2 linked regions of the Tamandua tetradactyla genome follow. Each later gene encodes a partner of the first gene's protein in a complex. Links are inferred from orthologs where the notes say so. Each region holds a gene or a part of one and is shown in the gene's direction. Other genes may lie near its edges.

Region 1 (10,120 bases):
TCTCCCCAAAGGGGTCCAACGGAGCTAACCACTTTGGTGGCTGCCTGACAGTTGTGCCTCGTTGCTTCCAGCGGTGTCACTGACCCACGAGTTTGCTTGCGACTGCTGGTCCCTTCCACTGGAGCAGAAACTGGTCCCTATTACGTGAGGGGGCCCAGGCACCGTCTGAGACTCGCTGGGCCCACCCCGAGACCCCGGAGAGCCTCAGACAGTGGGCCTCGCTGTCCCAGCAGAGACCAGCCCTGTGGTTTCTGCCCTTTGTCCTGGTGTCGCTTCTCCAGCCCTGGATGCCTGTGTTTCTTTTCCATTAACTTTTAACAACTTTTGCAGGGTGTGGAGGCAGAGGAGTCAGGGATGAAGGAAGATGAATGTGCTTCGCCTTTTTCAGAAATCCGCTCCACGATCTGAGTCTCCCGTCCACAGCTCAGAAGTGAATGAATAAAAGCAAGTTTATAGATTAGAAAACCATTTGAAAAGTCCTCTTTCTGAACATAGCCAGATGTTTAATTCTGCATTCAGCATGCATCACACGGCCACCATGCCACAGAAGGACAAATTGACGAAGGAATAAATTTAGTGGCAGGCGTTACCTTAACTCCTTCCGGCCTTGCCTCCTCGGGGATGCTATGACACCCCATTTCACAGATGCAGATAGACACCTGGGAAGATGGCACAGCTACTGGAGGATCTGGGAATTCGTGTGAGTCCCTTGCACTGTTTTCATGGATAGTGTGGCAAACTTCTCGGCATCTTGAAAAAGAAGCGGCTTGGTTTCACCTGAATTCTTGAGAAAGCGGATTATCATTGTGATTTGCTTCTAAGAAACCTGGATCTGTTCTGACACAGAAGTGGTGGTTAAGCGTGTGGGCTCCGACAGCCATGCCATCCCTATGCCAACCGTGTCAACCTGGGCAACGTACCCCACCTCCCCAGGCCTCAGTTTCCCCCACCCATTAAATGGGCTTCCTGAGGCCTTGTTTTGAAGATTGTGTAAAAAGGACGTTTGTCAAAATGGCTTGCCCAGGGCAAACACTTTGTCCAAGTGAGGAGCGAGGCCTCTGTGTGGGTGGAAGCTTTTTCTCCCAACCCCACAAGACACAGGCTTCGGAGAAGCTGGACACTGGTCCCTGACACTAGGCCCTGCCATGTGGTCAGGAAGTCGACACTTTGCCTCCAAGTGATTGCAGGGGGAGCCCCCTGTCCAAGCAGGGAACAGGGAGATGCCTTCCTGAACCTTCTCGAAATCTCTCCCACCTGCCCAAGCCTGGGGCTTCACAGAGCACCAGGGTCCCCGTGGGTGGGACCCCGAACTTGACCTGGCCATAAGCTCAATTCTTTAACTTAAACTGACACTCAGAAAAAAGGAGAGTGCAAGAGAAAAAAAGACCATTCAAGACATAAAAAATGTAAGTATTTTTAAAAATACTTATAGCCATCTTAAGGACTTTTTCCTATTTGATTAGGATCCTGCTTCCTAGTTGCAGGATACGTTGGCCTGAGCCACGGAATGATTTTCAATAACAAGGAAAAGAAGAAAACTGTCAGGCGGCTGGAGCTCTTCCGCATTTCTGTCCCTCCTGGGAGGGTGTAAGTGTCACCGGTCAGTTCTGTCGCGGTTCTCAGGTGGACGTTTCTCAGCCTTTCACTGATACCAGTGGGTTACAATAGGTTATTACGCCGGCAGCACAACTCTGCTTAGTACGTAAAAGAGCAATCCCTCCGGGCGGGGCGGGGACCGGCTGGGCCCGCAGGCGGGACCTGAGCGTCCGCGGCCCGCACGCATTAGGTTCTCCAGCGCTCGGAAGCCGCGGGTGCGCGCCTTCTCCAAGCCTTACGGTAGGCGCGGCGCGCAGGGCAACCACGTGGCTGGGGAACCGCGGCCGGGCGGGAATGCGCGGAATGCAAGGCGCGTCCCCGCTCGCTCCCAAGCGGGTCAGAGCGGCGCGCGCGCGCTCTCGCCTCCCGCGACACCCTGGCCTGGCCGCCCAGCGCTGGCACCCGACAGACTGAGCCCTGCGTGGGGCCCACGGCAGGTTTTGGGGGCGGAGCGCGGACCGACCGACCCCTCGGGCCCCGCGCGCCCAGGTCCCCCTAGTGGATCCCGGACCCCCGCCCCCGCTGCCAGACCCCGACGGCGCGGGCCGGTGGGAACCCAGGGGAGGGATGCAAGGCCTTAGCTTTGCAACTCCCCTGCCCCCGAGCTTGGGAAAAGAAAGCTCCCTCCACATCCCCGTCCGAGAAGAGTGTCGCAAGCCCCAGAAGCCGGAGGCGCCCCTTATAACGACCCCGGCCGCCCCTCCATCCATCTCAGGGGCCGAGGCAGAGGCTGAAAGCGCTCCGGGGCCAGATCTGGGGCAGGAGGAAGACGGCTGGAAGAGCGCGGGGTGCGGGGCGCGCGCGCCTTGGAGCCGACGTCGGGCTCGGCGCGGGTCCTCCGCCTGGAAAGCCCCGCTGCGGAGTCGCCGCGGCCGCAGGTTTCCGAGACCCCCGCGGGTCCCCGAGCGGCGCCCTGCGCCCCTCGCTTTAAGTGTGGGTGCACCGAGGCCGTTACCCCCACCCCACCAGATTTCTTTGCCTTGGTTGAAGGTGGTTTACTGGGCGCCCACTCCCCGCCCCTTTTGGCCAGGAAAGGCCCAGGGGCCTGAGTCGTGAGCCCCAGGGAGGGGGGCGTTCCTAGTTGGCTTTGGGGTTCTTATCGCTCAGGGTGCCGGGCGTGGAGGGAGGTAGAATTTTCTTTGACCCCCCCAAGAGTTTGCACCTTTTCCCTTGGGATCCCAAAGATGTCGTTGGGCCCCAGACCCCCAGTGTGACCTGCCCAGGTTCGCTTTAACTCGCGCACAACTCGCCCGCGGCCGTTAGAGTTGGGGGAGTGGGGGCGGGTACCCGAGTTGTCCGAGGGGGCGGGAGCTGGTGTGAGACTTAGGCGGAAACGTACCCCCGCAGCTCGAGGCAGTGAGGTGGGGGTGGGGTGCGGTTACCCGGTTCCCAGCGTACGGCTACCCTGTCCCGCAACGTTGAGACGCTCGGGGACCCGCGCCGCGTAGGCCTGGCCGAGCTGTTGCAGCACGTGGCCAACCGCGAGCACCCCAAAGCGAGCAGCTTTGGAGAAGGGGAGCCCGAGCGCCCCCGGAACCTCGCGGCCGGCACTCGGAAGCATTCTACAGCGCTACTTAAGGGCTTAACAATGGAAAACTCGCGGGGCGAGAGCCAAGTCCTTTCAAGTCGCCGCCAGGTATGCGGCTGCAGGTGACCCAACCTGGGTGCGCCCGCCCGCTAGCCCGCCTTCCCGATCCTCCCGGAGGAGGACGAGTGCCCCTCCCATGGGTTCATCACCCCACTCCCCAAAGCCCCCTGTTGAGTCGGTGCGCAGCCGCGGTGCGTCCCAGGGTCGGTCGGGTGGCGCGCCGGTTCCTGAATGAACGCGCTCCCTTCCCCCGCTGAATGGAGGTTCCCACAGCCAGGGACGGTGGCAAACACGTGTCTGCCGCGGAATTCGTCCTCTCGGGGCCGGCAATCCGCCCCAGCAGCAGTCAACGGCGTGGGGGACCCGGGGGCAAGGAGAGCGGGAGGCGACTTAAGTTACTTTTGGATTTTCTTTCAAACCAACCTGGTTACCCTCCCGTTTGGGCCACCGGACCTTTGTCTCCCAAATGGTCACCATGAAATAAGCATGGAGCACTTTAAACAAGTTCAGAGTTCGCAGTTCCTGCTTCGTGGTGGGTTTTAAAAAGACAGTGAGAAGTTGAAACTGCAGGAGAAAAGTTTTTGCAAAGTTACTTTTCTCTCTTCGGAAAAAAAGAAATGAAAATCAAAACGCGCCCTCGGCTCTCCTCTAAGCGATCGCACCCCCCCCAACTCCCACCCCCACCCCCCAGGACTCGGAGCTATTGGTTCCCTCGGGAGACAGGGGGTGCCGCTTAGCAGGGCTCACTGGGATGGAGGCTGGGCGCTTGGCGCTCCCCGCCGAGCCCCAAATTCCAGGGCCTCCCCCGCGTGTTCCTGGACGGCTCTTCACGCTTGCCCGCGGGGCTTGCACTTTTGCGCTGGTCCCTGAGCGGGGACCTCAACGAAGTTGCTGGTCGAGATCTGCCCGGTCCGCCTAGTAACAGCGCCGCGCCCCCATTGGCTCATGCTAATTCCCGTTTCCTCTGCCTTTCTCCCGGCTGGGTAGGGGGGAGCTCCCTGCTGCACCCGGAGCCCGTTTTGCCGGAGTGGGCGATCCTTTTTCTGCGCCGCTACCCGTCGCCGTCGCCGACCGGCCTCGCGCTTCGGGCCCGGCCGGGGCGCACGCGGGGGCTCCAGCCCGCGAGCCCCTGGAGACGGGCGCTGTCCGGCTATAGCGCGCGGCCCCATAAATCACCCGGGCAGCCGCCGGGTCCGGATTTTATGAATGAAAAAGCAGCCTCGCCGCCTTCGTGCGCGGGCCGTGGCTCTGCAGGCTCGGCGGTGCCCGGGGAGGGGGGACGGCGAAGGGTGCGCCGTGCTGAGTCCACCCTCCGCTTTGAAGGCGTGAGCCCGGGTAATTACCCTCCCAGGACCCGACCTAATAGTCACCCTAATTCCCGGATGGGGGGGGAGGGGCGCGGGAGAAATCTGCCCAGCAGGGTGGTATCTGATCTCGCCGCGTGCACCCCTTCATCCGTTTTTTTCTGAGCTTTTACTGCTAGGGATGCAGTGGTTTTACAGCACTCAGCTATATTCAGAGAGAAGTAAATGAACAATTTTCCTAATTTGAGGCACACTGTAAAAACTGTAAAAAAAAAATGAGATGGAGAAATTCTTTTTAAAGGCACCAAAGAGACGGTCTATACTTAATTAAAAGCACTTTGTGTATTTTATTGTGGATTCATCTTTCTTCAGTTTGAGATGATATGGAGGGCCCTATTGTTATAACCGTGGTTTGGTTAAAAAATCATCAATCAATGCACCCACTTTTTAAATTTACAGTTGTCCTGGATTTACCAGCCCCCTGCCGACCACCGCCTCAGGCTCACGAAGGCGGTCCCAGGGCAAATTCTAATGGTGAGGGGCTGTCCACTTGCCCTTCGAACGCAACTAGAAAGTTCCGGTGGTCTCCTGGGTGGAGAGGCGATTGATATTTCCAATTATTTAATTTCTTTTTCAATTAAAAAAAAAAAAGATGAGGCAGGACAGAGACCACTGCTTTGCAACCTTCCATTCAGAGGTACTGATCTCCCTGTTCAAATGCCGGAATTGGGGTAGGCAGGGGGCATTTGGAGACCCCGCGAGGATGGGCTTGTCAAGGTGGGAGAATGCCGCACATAACCCGGCCAGGAGGACACAGGATGAAGGAAATACTGGCCACCATCTTGAGCCGCTGCTGGAATTTTCGGGGATTTATTTTATTTATTTATTTTTTTTGCGTGAGCCCAGGCGAGGCTGAGATAGGTTCCTTTAACTTTTACCGAACCCTCTTAGGCATTTCTATAAGTGCCTCCCGGGGCGCCGGAAAGAAGCCTCAACCCGGGCTTGCGCCCTGCCCGGCGTCCTGGCATGGTAAAGAGTTCCTGAAATTTACACGTGTTAATGAAAATGAAAGAAAATGCAGAAGCGAGATTGCTCAGCCGTCCCTCCGCCCGTGGGTGCCCTCGTGGCGCTCTCCCGGCTCGGTAATAGGGTGTCGCCGAGCCCCAGACCCTCCTCCATGCGGTCTCCCCCGACTGCGTGTGGCCTGCCCGCCCTCCTAGTTGACCCCCTCTGCAGCGCCATCCCCACCCCCCCACCCCCAAATCCCAGGGACCCACATTAGCAGAACGGGCGCCCCCTGCACCCCTCTTGCCCGGCAGGGAGAAAGACGGCCGCGGGGTGATTTGCATTTCTATGAAAACCTGGCTTCGGGGGCAACTCCGCCGCGGGGCAGGCGCGGCGCCTCCGGGATGGCTTTTGGGTTCTAAGCCCGCGCCCCCTCCCCCTGCGCCCGCCCCCGCCCCCTCCCCCTCCCGCTCCCATTCTCTGCCGGGCTTTGATCTCTGCTTAACAACAGTAAACGTCACAGGGACTACAGGGGAGTTTTGTTCGAAATTGCAAAGTCCTGGAGCCTCCAGAGGGCTGTCGGCGCAGTAGCAGCAAGCAGCAGCGTCCGCCGCGCTCCTTGCGAGGGCCAGAAGCCGGCGAGGGAGCGCGGGGCAGGCAGGAGACGCAGCGCGCGCGCCGAGCCCGGAGCCCACCGCGTCCCAGGCCGCCGAGCAGAGCCGGCAGCATGGAACACCAGCTCCTGTGCTGCGAGGTAGAGGCCATCCGCCGGGCGTATCCCGATGCCAACCTCCTCACCGACCGAGTGCTGCAGGCCATGCTTAAGGCCGAGGAGACCTGCGCGCCCTCCGTGTCCTACTTCAAGTGCGTGCAGAAGGAGGTCCTGCCGTCGATGCGCAAGATCGTGGCCACCTGGATGCTGGAGGTGCGTGGCTGCTGCGAGGGGAGGCCCATTTGAGACTCCTCAGCAACGTGTTGCCCAGATTTCTTTGCCCCTCGTCTGTTCGCCCCACTGTCCCACCCCGGCTTTGAAGTTTGCCGGGGTGTTGTCAGCAGTCGGTAATTTCCAAATAAATCGACAGCGTGGGTAGTTTTTGAACGAGGAAGAAATGGGGGTGGGGGCGTTAGAAGTTCCCTTTCCTCCCGGAGGGGGGTCGGGCGAAGGGTGCCTTCCGGGGGAGTCAGTGCCCGGGGCACCCCAGTGAGCCCGAGGGTGCGGGTGGGCAGGCCGGGCGCCTTTTGTGCCCCCCTCCTGGGCTGCCACCGCGCAGCCCCAGCCTGCGCCCGACTTTTCCTGCGCCGCCTCTCTCGGCCGCTTCGGTCCCGAGCCACCGGCTCAGGGAAAAGGGGGTATAGATTTGATTTTTAAATTAATATCCATGTACACGTATGCAAGGGCCGCCCGTGCCAGTATTATGCGCCATCTTTGTTCTTTTATTGCAAAGCAAAAGTGTTTATTAATAATTGGGGGGAAGGTGGGGGCGGGGAGCGGCCGGCAAGGCGCTGGGGCCGCCGCGAGGGGCCGCGCGGTCCGCGGAAGGGGTGCGGGGACGGGTCGCTGGCAGCTTTGGGGGGGACCCCGCTCGGGAAGGGGGCCCCTTTTGTTCAGGCGGCGAGCCCCGGGGCGCCCCGCAAGGCCAGCCTGGGCCGGAGAGCACGCCGGGCTGCAAGGTCGCGTGGCCCCTAAGATGCCCGGTATTGACCCCCGTCTGTCTGGGTGTCGGCTTGGGGGTGCTGCCCAGAGCGAGCCGGGGACCTGGGGCACATTTTCAGGCCTCCTGGGGACGCCTAGGGGGCCGCTAGTATTTTTAAATAATTTTTGAAAGTGCGGTGTGCTGCCCTCGCGAGAGAGAAGCGGAGCCCGCGCCTAGGGGGAGGGGGGCCCCCGAGTTTGAATTCCTGGGGCTCTCTGTGGAGCCTGCGACGAGCTCCCGAAGCCTGGACTGGGTAAAGGACCGCCTGAGGGTCATTTTCAGGGGGGTTTTATGTGGCCAGTTTTTTTTTATATATTTTTAAATATTTTTTGAAAAGATGACGTCTGGGGAAATGCGGCGCGGCGGCCTGGGACGCCACCTTTGTGTCTCGCGGGCGCGGAGAGCACGGCGCCCAGCTCTACGGCCCAGCACCCCATTTAGTGGCGGACCCCAGGCCAGGCGCGCTCCCGGACCCCCACGCGGGCCGGGGTCCCCGGGGCCGGGCACACCGCACCACCGCGCGCGCCGCAGCCCTGCCCGCTCGTGTCCAGACTATGCCAGCCTCGCAGGGACTTTCCCTTTCAGTTTCGGGGTGGGTGTGTGGGTGCCCGGGGCACGCCGGGGAGGGGGCGCATCATGGGGAGCTCCTGCCACCCCCTGCCCCGGCTCTCTCGGCGCGCGGGAACCGGCCGGCCTGGGCGAGCGGGGTGGGGGTGCAGGGTGGCGGTAAAGGGGTCCTGCGCGTCCCGGCGGCGGCAATCACGGACTCTCCCCCACCCGCCACCCCGATACCCCGGCAGGTCTGCGAGGAGCAGAAGTGCGAGGAGGAGGTCTTCCCTTTGGCCATGAACTATCTGGATCGCTTCCTGTCGCTGGAGCCCGTGAAGAAGAGCCGCCTGCAGCTGCTGGGAGCCACCTGCATGTTCGTAGCTTCCAAAATGAAGGAGACCATCCCCCTGACGGCCGAGAAGCTGTGCATCTACACTGACAACTCCATCCGGCCAGACGAGCTGCTGGTACCCGTGGGGTCCCCCACCCACTCACCCACCCACAGCCACCCCGTGAACTGCAGGCGGCAGGGGTCCCCCGCCCGGCACTGACAGGCCGTATTCCCCGAAGGAGGGCAGCCACACTGTCCCGGAGCTGCGCTTGGAGGAGGAGGAGGAGGAGGAGGCGGTGGGGCCCCAGGCGCCCCGAGTCTTCGCCACCCCCACCCCCACCCCCACCCGCACCACACTTTCCCTGCGGCCCACTTTAGCGCCCCGCGGCGTGGCCGGTAAATGGGCGGCGCGCGCCCTCTTGCGGTGGCGGCGTGCGCTGGCCGCCCGCTAATGAATCAGGACTTTTCCTTCCAGATGGTGGGAGGTCTTTTTGTCTCCACTTGCAAATAGTTGGCTTAATGGGAATGCGAACAGGAGCCGTTTCACGCGGCACCTTCTCTGTTTTGACCTGAGCCTTGCCCCCACTTCCCAGATCCCTCGACACCCCACCCCCACCCCCAGGGCTGCCCCCCAAACCAGGGTGCTGGCTGGGACCCTCGGCTGACCGTTGCGCCCCTTTCTGCCTTGCTCCCCTCCACCCCGCGTGCCCAGCAAATGGAGCTGCTCCTGGTGAACAAGCTCAAGTGGAACCTGGCCGCGATGACCCCGCACGATTTCATTGAACACTTCCTCTCCAAAATGCCCGCGGCCGAGGAGAACAAACAGATCATTCGCAAACACGCCCAGACGTTCGTCGCTCTGTGTGCCACAGGTAGGGGCGGGCTAGCGCCCACCGTGTGCTCCCCGGAGGGTCCTCAGGCAGAGTTGCCGGTCGCCCGCCGCCCCTCCTTGCTGGGTGGCCGCGTGGCCCCAGGGCCTGGCTCCCTCCCTCTGAAATGCTCCCCAGGCCCCTCCTGCTCTCTGGCAGCGCCCCTCTTTCTCCGCCGGAGTGAGCAGGGGGGTTTGGGGTTGGAATCTTTGTTTGCCCGGAGGGCAGGACCGAGAGGGAGGTGTCGCCCTCTCCAGGGGTCACGCCGCTGAGACTGACCGTGGCCACCGTCCCGTGCCTTGGTGCCCCGTCCAGCTGCGCTCCCTGGACTGGGCAGGCCTGGCCGTGGCCGCTCCATGCTGGAAGGGGTTTACCTTGGCGTCCGGGCGGGCCTCCTCCCCCACCCCACGTCCAACCCTTCCCGTGTCCTCAAGGAGCCCAAGCTGCGGGCCCCCTCCCGGCCTCTCCCGGCTGGGCCACCTGCCAGGGGCGCCTACGGGGCGGGGAGCCCCAGCGGGCCGGCAGGGCCTGCACCACGTGCTCGGCGCCGCGCGCGCGCGGGGGCGGCCCGCTGAGCGCCACGGCTGGAGGCCCCGCCAAGGGCACAGCCCTGGGGAGGGGCTTGCAAGCTGGCCGCGAGGGGCCCAACCCCCGCCTCCCCGGGCGGCTCCCGGCCACCCCGGAGCCCTCTCCCGGGCACAGACCCGCGCCGGGCAGCTTCTGGGAACTTGGTGCATCAGCGCCCGCAGTCTTGCTCCCTCTGGCCCCCTAGTTCCCCTTGACCACTTTCCTTTTTCCCACCTGGGTAAGGAAAAATGACCCCCTTGGTGGAGGGAAGTCCCCACCCCCCACCCTGCCCAGCTCTGCCCTGGCCTGCCTCTTCCCAATCAGGCCTGTTTCCACATCTTTTTTTTGGGGGGGGGGGGGCGGCACTCTGGGGGACTTGAGGACCAGGAGAGGGGGTGGCATCAAAGACACAGTGGGGAGGGAGCAGCCGGAGTCTTCTACCTCCCCCAAAGACTCAGAGCCCCCAGCCCTGGCCTCCGTGCTGTCCCCATGGTTGATACTCCAGAACCCTTTTTGTTTTGGAGGCCAGTTGGGGAGATTCTTCTGCTCCCCCCACCCCGCCACCCCCTCGGAGTTCCTCCAGGCCAGGCGCTTAGGGAAGTACGCGCTGGAGCCAG
Region 2 (10,507 bases), on another chromosome or scaffold:
AGTGTCTTAACTCTCACTGCCTTTCCTTGTTAAACTCCCTCAAGTGGGTATTTCCCCCATAAAGTTTTGGTTCTATTATGTATATTGTGTCAGGAAAAGCTTACTGCCTCCCAGATATCAAAAGTGGCAAGGTGGGGTGTATTCATGGAAAGTGCTTAGCATTTTAACCTTAAATACCTACATTTAAGAAAAATTGAGGTTTTTCACAACTTAATTCACTTGATAGTGACATGTAGCCTTAGTGGAAGGAACAATCATGGAGAAGTTTCATAAGCAATTTCAAGTCTGTCACACACCAGAGATATTTCTAAGTTCTGAACTGACTGAACGCTGACTGGCAGTGCTTTTCCCTAATAATTCCATTAGGGAGTTATTTTTAATAATAAAAATTTATTATTAAAATTATATATTAATAAAATATTTTAATAATTTTTAAAATAATAAAATTAACATTTTATTCCCTGATAATTCCATTGAGTAACTCTTCAAATCTACAGTTTCAGGTTCCTTTAGGCCTAGATTTTTACAGGCCATGATTTTTTTTCAGTCCAAAATGCTTTTTCCAAAATGCTCTAGAGAAGAGGTCAGGTTCTGTCCTACTAAATCGTCCAGGGTCTGTGCATAGGGGCTTTTTACAAGTGCCTGAGAAGACTCCTCCCCTTAAAGTCCTTAGTGTACTTTTATAGTCTCTTCCTGTATGGTTTTGAGAAAAAGTTAAGGATTTTGCCTTTGTTGTAAAAGTCTCTTTTCCACAGATCACTTCATCTGGCCAACAGGAATTTTCCAGATTTACCTTTAGATATTTCAAGTTAGAAAGATAAGGCTATATTAAGGGAAAACTATAATATTGGCTCAAACCACTGATTTACCAATTCTAAATTATACAGAATGGGAACCATAAACAGATTCTTAGTTTAAAATGAACTGAACAGAGGTGGAGTTCCTTCCCTTAATCTTGGACTGAAAGGGATTATAGCAGGTTAAATTAATTTAGGGGTGAAAAACAAGACAATGTTAATGGGGTCATATAGTGAAGACATGTAAGAGGCAAGGAGGGGGAAATAGACACCACACTTAATGATTTTATCCCTGCCTGAAACACAAAGCCCTTCTAAACTGAGAACAGCTCACGAACTGAGCTTAGTATCAGCCTTCCCTGGCAAAGGAGGGGCTTTTAGGAGGAGGACAAAAGACTCAGGAAGAAATCAGGGGGTCTTAATATTCCATACGCGTATGTCCTCAAGGCTCATGATGCTCTCTAGATCCCGTAAAGATTGTCCACATTTTGTGGAAATAAGAGACTATTGATTATAGGAATGGCAGTGCAGGAAGGAAGAAAACTAACTGAGACCTGGGACCACTTCAGTTACCCTACACATAAAAATCACAGGTTTTATTTTTACATGGCTACAACATAAGGTTCTTTGTGATAACTGCATTTGGCAGATGAGATCTCAGGATACTCAGCAAAAGAAAGGAAAATAGACCTGGAAATCAGAAATTGAAAGCAAATTTCAAACAACTATTTGAAAGGGGTTATTTCTATTTGCTAATGCTGCTGGAATGTAATATACCAGAAATGGGTTGGCTTTTACAATGGGGAATTATTAGCTTACAAATTTATAGTTCTAAGTCCATGAAAATGTCCAAATTAAGGCAGCAACAGGACAATACCTTCTCTGGAGAAAGGCCTCTGGTATCTGGGATTCTTCTGTTACATAGGAAGGCACATGGCCACGTCTGCTGGTCCTTCTTTCCTGGGTTGTGTTGCTTTCAGCTTCTGGCTTCAGTGGCTTCCTCTCGGAGCTTCTGGGAATCCTCTCTTAACTTCTTCAGGGCTTGTATCTATTAGCTTTTCTTAGTTTCATCTCTCTTAAATGACTCAGTTGAAAGGATTAAAACGTACCATGAATGGGGTGGTTCACATCTCAATTGAAATAACCTAACCAAAGATCCAGCTACAACAGGAATGGATTTAAATGGATTTAAAGAACATGGCCATTATTGATAATGATTCATTATTTTGGGGGGACTGCAACTTTCTCTAACCATTACATATAGTACCATCTTTTATGGAGAAGCTGATTTCTTTGCCATTCTGGACCTTAAAATGTTCATATATTTCAACTCACTGATAAACTCCATCAGTGGAAATTTATTGAATATAAAAATTCCAAAGAAGGATGAACCTCTTCTTACTCGGCTGTCAATGGTTTCCTACTGTTCTGAGCTTTCTCCCCCTCCCTGGGCTGCTCCCACATCACTGCAACTGCATTCCCTTTTACCATTCCTGCCCAAATTGTACATTATCCTGCAGCACAAAGAGCCACAGCTAGGGAAGAGCAGAGTAGAATTGCAACAGCAAAATCTACTACTGGCTCATCATTTTGACTAGGTCTTAAAGCCAAGATCTAATTCTTCTTCCTGGAATACCTAATATGACAGCTTTACACAGCTATTTCACCCTAGGTTCACATCTGATTTCTACCACCTGGAGTGCAGTAGAACTAGTATCTCAGAGCCCAGAGCCAAAATAGCAGATTCCTATCCCTCTGCTCCCCTTCCCCAACAATTGCCCGGGCCAACTTACCTAAATCCTCTCTTCCCGGTTTGGTCTTTCCATGTGATTGACATTAGCAAGGTCCATTCTTACAGTGATCAGCCATCCTGGTTTGCCTAACACTGTCATGGTTTAACACTGAAAGTCCTGTGTCCTGGAAAATCCCTCAGTCCTAGGCATGCTGGTCAAACTGTACTGGTCACGGTACTTCAGGGGGAGCACCTTCCTACCCTGAAGGGGGTGGCTCCACTAAAGGAATCCTATCAGAACTCAGTAGTCAACAACCAGCCCAGGAATTAATTATTGAGTCTTAAGTAGGGCATCAGTGGTATAGCCCAGGGTACTTTTTACCTCTGCCCACTTGATTTCTTTTTTCAGTCTTCCTCCTGTATGAGTGCATTACTGTAGCTTTGGGGGTTTTCAATTCCTCATCTCTTGTGAAGAACCATTTCGATCCATATACTTATCTCCATAAGAACAAGCAATGGTTTGCTCTCACACTGAAGTTTAAGTCCACGCTTAAAAAAAAACAGTTCTCTAAAGGAAATTTATCTGTTAGAGGTACAACTCTGCTTGCAGAATTAACCATCTTTTCCATGGTCTTAAGATCAGTCTAGGTTCATAGAGCCATAGCTTCTCAAATATCTCCATTTTCAGACAATTATTTTAGATTTATATTACATCCTGATTTCCCCAGAATGAAAGTCTCCAGCTTTTGAAAACCAAAAACTTCTTGTAACTTTGAACTTGGTTTCTTTAGCCTTTATCACTGCAGTCAAGGTTCAAAATGATGTAGTTATTTGAGTCAGGCTTGAATCAGAGCTGAAGCCCTAGACGCTTATGTTCCACAAGTTTCTCCAAGAAGAAAACTTATCTAAAGCATAATCTTAGATTGGAAACTCAGCCCCCGGAAGGCTGCAAAGGAAGGTCTATTTGCCTGCCCCTCATATGGTTCTAGGAATGTTACTTGACTTTAGTGGGAACATGGCTGCCCAAGATAAAAACTAATTCCCAGCTTCTTTTACACTTAGGCATGGCTATGTGACTAAATTCTGGCCAATAGGATACATGTGTAAGAGTCCTGTATTATTTTCAGGATGTGTCCTTAGTGCTAGGAGACATGCCATTCCTCTTTTAGCTTCCTTCTGGTCGGAATGTGGACATAATGGCTGGAGCTAGAACAGTTATCTTGGACTTGAGGTGGAAGCCACTAATTGAGGATAGCAAAGTTACAAGACAGAAAGAAACTCGCCCCTAATTGCTATATTTATCCTATGCTGTACATCCCTGGATTTCTTCTCCATGACAGAGAAGTAAAACTTTACCTGGGATAAGTTACTTTTTTGTTGTTTGTGAGAAAAAGCCTAAACATAAGGTTATATAACTGCCTTTTTTCCAAGTGCAGCAATACCTGTTACACAGAAAATCTTTGGATGTAATGTAAATATTCAACAATGGGGAGTAGGTATTTGTCAGTATAACCTCTCAGTGGAATATTGTGCAACCATTAATGAGGACATCTATTAAGTACTTCAACAGGGGAAATGATAAAATACAAAACAATAACACAATTATATCTGTGCTTAAATTAAACTTTCAAAATTATATTTCCAAGGACTGTTTGGGGACATGAACACTTAAGAATTATGCATTTTGGAAGCAGAGTTTCTTTGTTTAGACTTCCATAAAGTGTTGCTATATTGTTTACTTGATTTAAAAGTTCTCTAAAACAGTGGTAGCCAAGTGTTTGACCTCATGGATTGCATATTGTGGATTTTTGGTGTTACCCTGTAACTACTGCATCATGTATCTGGGTTGTGACTTAAATGCTTTCACTGACTAAAAGGAGGAGATACAAAAATAACATTAAATTGTTAAAAAAAAAAAACACAAAAAACTAATGCTGTTAAGTATGTGTACTTTTACTGTGATTAGATTATAAACTCTTTTAGGGCTAGGACTATCTTGTTTCTTTTTTACGTTCCGTCCTCTCCAAGTTTCATCCCTTTTCAGGAGGAGATGGGGTAGACTGTTATTGCTCACATTGGTAATCAGTATTTGTAGGGATCTATGTGATTTATTGAATTGTGCCTAGTATGAACATATAAATCCATACTTGTGTTGAGTATATTATTTTGTTTACTAAGATTACTGAGAAAGGCCATTGTTGTGATGATGAGAAAGTCAATACACTTTATCATGTTCTAAACCCAAAGGCTTAAAAAAAACATTTTACTTAGAAATAATTTCAAATTTACAGGACAGTTGCAAAAGTGATACAAAACCCATACAGAAAATTCCAATATAGACCCTACCCATATACCCAGATTTACCAGCTTTAAATATTTTGCCACATTTGTTATGTCATTCTACTGTCTACTGTCTATTTATCTAATCTATTTTGTAAACATTTGAAAATAGGTTGCATACATCATTCCACTTGAAAACCTAATACTTTCATGCATATTCTTAAGAACAAGGATATATGCTTATGTAAATCACATTAAGTACAGTTATCAATGAATTCAGAGACTTTGGCCACTGTGTAAGAAGCACACCTGTGGTTCTGTGGTAGGCTCAGGGGCCAACTAAATCAATATGTAGCCCTTTAGAGGAAAGTAAAAGGGAAAAAGCAGTACTGGAACTGCTTAATGGAGCTTTTGTATAGGTGATTCCCTTTGCTCCTCAGTCTAGATTCTCTCTCATTCTGTCTCTGCCTCTGTGTCTCTCTATCTATATATACTTATTCTGGCGAATGTGTTACAGAATGTTAGGGCTGGAGAAAACTCAGGACTCATTCATTCACCACAGTGTTCCATGAAAAAATAAGGGTCAGAAGAGGTGATTTATCAATTGGGATAAGTAGCTGTTGAAAGTACCTAAGGTAGTTACTGAACCAGTTAGACAAGAAAGGCTATTGAGCTATGATTTGCTCTTCAACACTCTCAAGAAAGACTCCAGTTCTCTAAACAATTTAGTGGGCAACCGACACATAAAAAAAATGGCAGAAACACCGACTACTTAACTCCAGGGCTAATGATCTGAATTTGTTTACTTTTGCCTTGAACAGGAAACAGATTTTGAATTGGAGCCAAGCAGTTTTTCGGCGCTCGGCGGCGAAGCCTTGAACGACCGCCTGGGCTCTCTTCCATTGATGTCTGGGACGTTCGTGGGTTCGGTGATCCTCTGCGCCGTCTTCTGGGTTGATGTCTCCTGAGCCGCAGCGGCGGCGCCCGGTCGAGGGCTGAGTTACCCGCGAGGCACCGCGCTCAGGCTGCTTTCTCCCGCCGGTCGGTAGAGCAGATTCCCTGCTTCCTTCCTGCCTTCTCCGTCTTCCCTTTTGTGGCCCAGCCCACCCGCCTGGCTGCAGACCGCGACCCCCGCCCGTCTTGCAGGTAGGCCCGGGAGGAGCCTGGAGGCCCGGCATCCTTCGGCCGCGGGCGGAGACCTTGGCGCCGGCGGGCGGGCAGCTCCGGACGCGGCCGGAGGGGCGGTGGGGAACTGAACCGAAAGGAGGGAAAGATGCTGGGGCTGCCCGAGGTGGCTCGGGAGGGAGGGCGTATGTTGGGTCTAGGGCGAGCGTCGGCACCCATGTGTTTGGGGGGAAATCGCTTTCCAGGAACGGATAAAGCTTTGCGCGCTTTGACCCTCCTTCTGTTCTCCTTTTCCCTCTCCTAAGGTTCCGGGTGTCATGACTCAGTTTGCAATGGGGACCCTCTCTGAGTTCGACCTTTGAAGGGACGCTTGAGTAGGTGAAGGCATGTGGAACAAGGTCCTGTGAGCCAAGTGTCATGTTCTCGCCTATTTTGGGTAGGGAAACTGAGGCTGGGGTCTGGGACGAGACTTTTCCCTATATCCTCGGGCAGATCTTTAAAGGCACCGTAAGTCTCTTTTTGTCACTTACTAGTTTATTTTTTACCCCATTTTACCAGTCACTTTATGCATACAGTGATGTGTCGTTTAGTTTCCTATGATCCCTCCCTCCTGGGAATATAGATGCTGTCACTGGCGACTTTAGAAGTAAAGGGTCCATTTGATCTCTTGGCTCGTTTTTCTTTTCAGAGACTCAGTCATTTTACTGCGAGTAGCAATGACAGTTTCTTGGTACATAATTTTGTTTGCTGTCCAATTTGCTTTCTGGCGGATACGTTTTGCTTCTTCCTTTCAACTTGTTCTTAGTGAAAACTTTCAACTATGGTGTTTTAAGTGGTCAGTGTCCGACAGAGGAGGATCAAGATTTTGAAATCAGATGTTTGTCCTGTGAATGTTTGCTTTCTAGGAAGTATACAAAGGAAATCCAAGGATTCCCTTTCGAAATGGTTTGATCATATTTGATTTGTGGTTTAGTCATTCCATATAGTAGAGATAAAACAACCTGTGTGTAAAAATCATTCAGATATTTAGGCATTTAAATTAGTCAACATTCTAGGGACTCCATTATGTTTCCATTTGCTCTCATAATTTAGAAACTTTGGGGAGTACTGTAAGTATTCTTACTCATTTTATTTTCATGGGATTCAGTGTCTGTGATCCTGGTTTGTGCAACTTCTTTGCTGAAAATAATAATCAGCCTAAAATTCACTCTAGGTTATGTTCCCATAGTATGTAGAATTAATAAGAGAATGCTCTTAAGAACAGATTAGAGTAAAAGTACTGGTCCTTGGATGGAAACTATACAAGTCTGTGTTTCTGCACACTTTTAGAATTCTCATGGGAAGTTTGGAAAGGTTTTTTTGTTCCTCTGATTTTTGGGGAGGTTGGCAAGAACGATCATGAGCCATTTTCTAGTTGCAGGGACCCCAGTGCTTCCAGGAAAGAATTAGTGAAGAGCCACCAGACTATTTTTTGGAGAATCTATATTGGGAAGTTAGTCTTCCTTTTTGAAAAGAAATTTTTATGGCAGAGAAGAATTTATATCAGAGGAAAGAATTTAGAAAAGGATTAATAAGTTGTGTATAAAATTCAGAGTTACATGTGATATTTCAGTGGCTCTTAATAAGTGCTAAATAATAAGTGGAGATTGCTGTGAAGTCACAAAGAAATGTTAGGAAGCTTTTGTTATGTTCTATAGAAAATGATCGGCAAATGTTTGAATTGAGGAGAAGTAATTTGGTGATGGTGGGAGGGTTACAAGGAGAATTTATTAGGGTCTTCTCTGCCTTATGAAAGAAATTCACTCACCTTTTAACTTACTTGGTCAAATCTTGTATTGTTTTGTCAGTGCCAGGTTGGTTTCTCTTCTGGCATTTACTTTCAGAAATATAAAGGGTCAGAATATGAGTATATTCTCTTTTATTAGGAGAGTTCTTGGGGATTACTTGGCCTGGACTGGAGTTATGTATATCACTCGAAAACAATGTCATTTTTATTAATGAATAAAGTTTATGCTGTATATTTTCAATATGAGTTAGGAAACTTATGAAACTGTTTTGGCCTTGTTCCTTTATGCTGCTTATTAATACTGCATCTAAGCATTTATGGTTTTCAGGGAACTTGGTGATTTAGTGACAGTTTAAATTGACAAATTTGCCTCACTCTTCCCATATTATGATACAGCACTTTCTCCTCTTAAAGAAATTGGACAAAACATTATGTTGTTAGCACACCGAGGTATCTTTTTCCAACATATGCCTAATTCTTGATAGTTATTTTGAGATTGGGTGCAAACTTTTTTGCTCAGTGGTTTGGTTTATAGAAACAAAAAGAAAAAAACAAAACTTAAATTCCTTTAATCATAGGGTCATTCTTGTTTCTTTCTCCAGTTGTGTCTCATAAACCCCGAGAAATCTTTGTTTCTTGCCATACTTTCTGATTGTGCAGAAGTGTTATTTACAACCTGTCCTGTGGTTTTGGGGAAAATTTATATCTTTTTTAAGCTTCTTTCTTCCCAAGTTAATTAGATCCATTTTTTTTCTATTTCTTTTCACAAAGCTAAAATTAGTTACTAATTAAAGATAAACATTTTGTGGTAAGTTATTAACAGAAGGTGTTTTACATGTGTAGTTGTATATGGCAGCCTGCCAGTGGGATGTGAAAAGAAAATAGATTAAGGAATCAGGAGATCTGGGTTTAAGTCTTAGGCTTAACAGCTTATTTGTTGAGAATTCTTGTAGAACCACTAAGGAGGATGTAGGGAAGGTTATTGTTGTTATTGAGCATTTACTGTGTCATGCTCTTTACATGTGTGATCTTATTTCGTACTCATAACAGTCCTCTGGGGCCGATATTTTTTCCCCCATTGATACTGAAGCTCAGAGAGGGTAAATAATTTGACTAAGATCACACAGCCAGTGTGTAGTACTGCCTTGGATTCAAATCCCATCCAAGCTAGTGAACTTCATATTATGATGCTTTTCTGGGTATATAAGGAATGGGGAAAAAAATTAGTCATAATATTTCTTCTGAGAAAAAGTGCGTGAAATGGTTTAAAAAAGATTAACAAGGTAGAAAAAGCAAGGTAAAAAGATTGCTATTCATATGTTAACATCTATGCTATCTTACAACAGTTGACCAATGTCATTTAGGTTCTTTGGCAACTTGTTGCTTTCAAGGCAGCATCATGAAATGATGCCAGACAATCATGAAAGATAGAGGTAGACAGACATTAAACCTGCACTGGAGGAGGAGCTTACTAACATGTATGATGAAGGAGTGAGTGCTAGAAAGTGCCCATGAGAGAGAGTGGTTTTAGGTGCTGCACTGAAATGGGGTGAGACTGAGGGTATTTACCACAACTCTTCTGGTAGTCCTGGCTTGTGGATCTTTAGATTAATTTGTTCTAGTATACTAAGTAGCTTTCCTAGGTTATCCTCTGTCTCTTCCTTTGCTCTTAGAGTTGATAGTTTTCACTAATCTACCTAAACTTCTTTTCTTCATTCTGTATTGTGCTCATGTGTTTTTCTGAGTTATGAAATATCACTTTCAGACCTTCTGGAATTATTTATTGACTGTGACTTGTATGTTTCAGCCCTTACCTATTCAAGCTGTTATTCATCTAGCAGATACTTAATGAGTACTCATTAGATACTGAGATAAAAAAGATAGACAGGATAGTTTTTTGCTCTTGCAGAGTTTATTCCAGTGGGAAACAGATCACCAGGTGTTTGTTAAATAATGAAATTTAGGTTGAAATCAATGCACTGAATAAAGCAAACTGACAGAGAGAGGGGTGAAGAAGTGGGAAGGGCACCCAGTCTTTGCTGGGATTGAAGACTTCAATCATCACTTCTTAATCCACCTAAAAAATTGCTTTCACGACATACCATGATTCAGGAAATTCTTCTGCTGCCATCACAATCGATGTCTTCATTTCAGACTGCTGCATGTAATATTTGCCTGTCACTTAAAGTATGATGACATAGTAAAGAATAAGTATGACTTATAAAGATCTATATTGCTTGGCTGATGAGTTTACTATTTTAATTCTAATGTAATCTTAATGTAATTAATTCTTAATGTATTTAATTCTCATTTATTAATTTTCCCAAGTTAACTATTTTTGAAAGTTGAGTTCAATTAATTTAGATGCTGGACACATGCTTTTAATTGCATTTGTGGCAGAGAAGAAAATAAGTACTTAGCCTTACATAAGGGAATAGACTTAGGAGAATTGTGAAATTGAGAGGGAAAATGTAGGCTTTTCCTGAATGTGTGTATAGTATTACCTATGGTCTTGTTTGATGTTTTTTCCCCCCAAGAAATGCAAAGTATTTTGCAAACATTTTTTGCTGTTGCTCATTGGAATTATATTTCTATCTGTAGGATGAACGGAAGCATGTTTCACATTTCATGATTTATTTCTGCTCCTCAGGATAGAATATATATCCTCCATGAACCAAAATTAGTGTGTTTTAGGACCAAAATAGTATAGCATCTGAAATCTTGTTGAGAAGGAGGGGCTTAATTTTCATGTTTAATTTGGGAAGAGGATTAGAACATTTTAGTCTA

Evidence for each region. Proteins that work in one complex are often made in the same cells at the same time.
Region 2: the proteins of CCND1 (region 1) and AMBRA1 are in contact, whole or in part, in a cryo-EM structure (PDB 9IVD), measured with the Homo sapiens proteins. The link is inferred for Tamandua tetradactyla from reciprocal best matches to the Homo sapiens genes CCND1 and AMBRA1. Residues at the interface, in NP_444284.1 of Homo sapiens: Thr286, Pro287, Thr288, Asp289, Val290, Arg291, Val293, Asp294, Ile295; in NP_001354397.1 of Homo sapiens: Arg54, Ser55, Phe57, Val73, His75, Arg96, Thr97, Trp99, Leu116, Ala139, Arg184, Ile945, Asn1012, Asn1029.

What each region holds. Positions count from the first base shown.
Region 1 is NC_135335.1:4,929,050-4,939,169, reverse strand, and holds the start of CCND1 (G1/S-specific cyclin-D1), read left to right. Parts: upstream 1-5,986; 5' UTR 5,987-6,220; coding exon 6,221-6,418; intron 6,419-7,987; coding exon 7,988-8,203; intron 8,204-8,779; coding exon 8,780-8,939; intron 8,940-10,120. UniProt on the Homo sapiens protein: Regulatory component of the cyclin D1-CDK4 (DC) complex that phosphorylates and inhibits members of the retinoblastoma (RB) protein family including RB1 and regulates the cell-cycle during G(1)/S transition.
Region 2 is NC_135334.1:123,312,172-123,322,678, reverse strand, and holds the start of AMBRA1 (activating molecule in BECN1-regulated autophagy protein 1), read left to right. Parts: upstream 1-5,734; 5' UTR 5,735-5,955; intron 5,956-6,140; exon of another isoform or gene 6,141-6,441; intron 6,442-10,507. UniProt on the Homo sapiens protein: Substrate-recognition component of a DCX (DDB1-CUL4-X-box) E3 ubiquitin-protein ligase complex involved in cell cycle control and autophagy.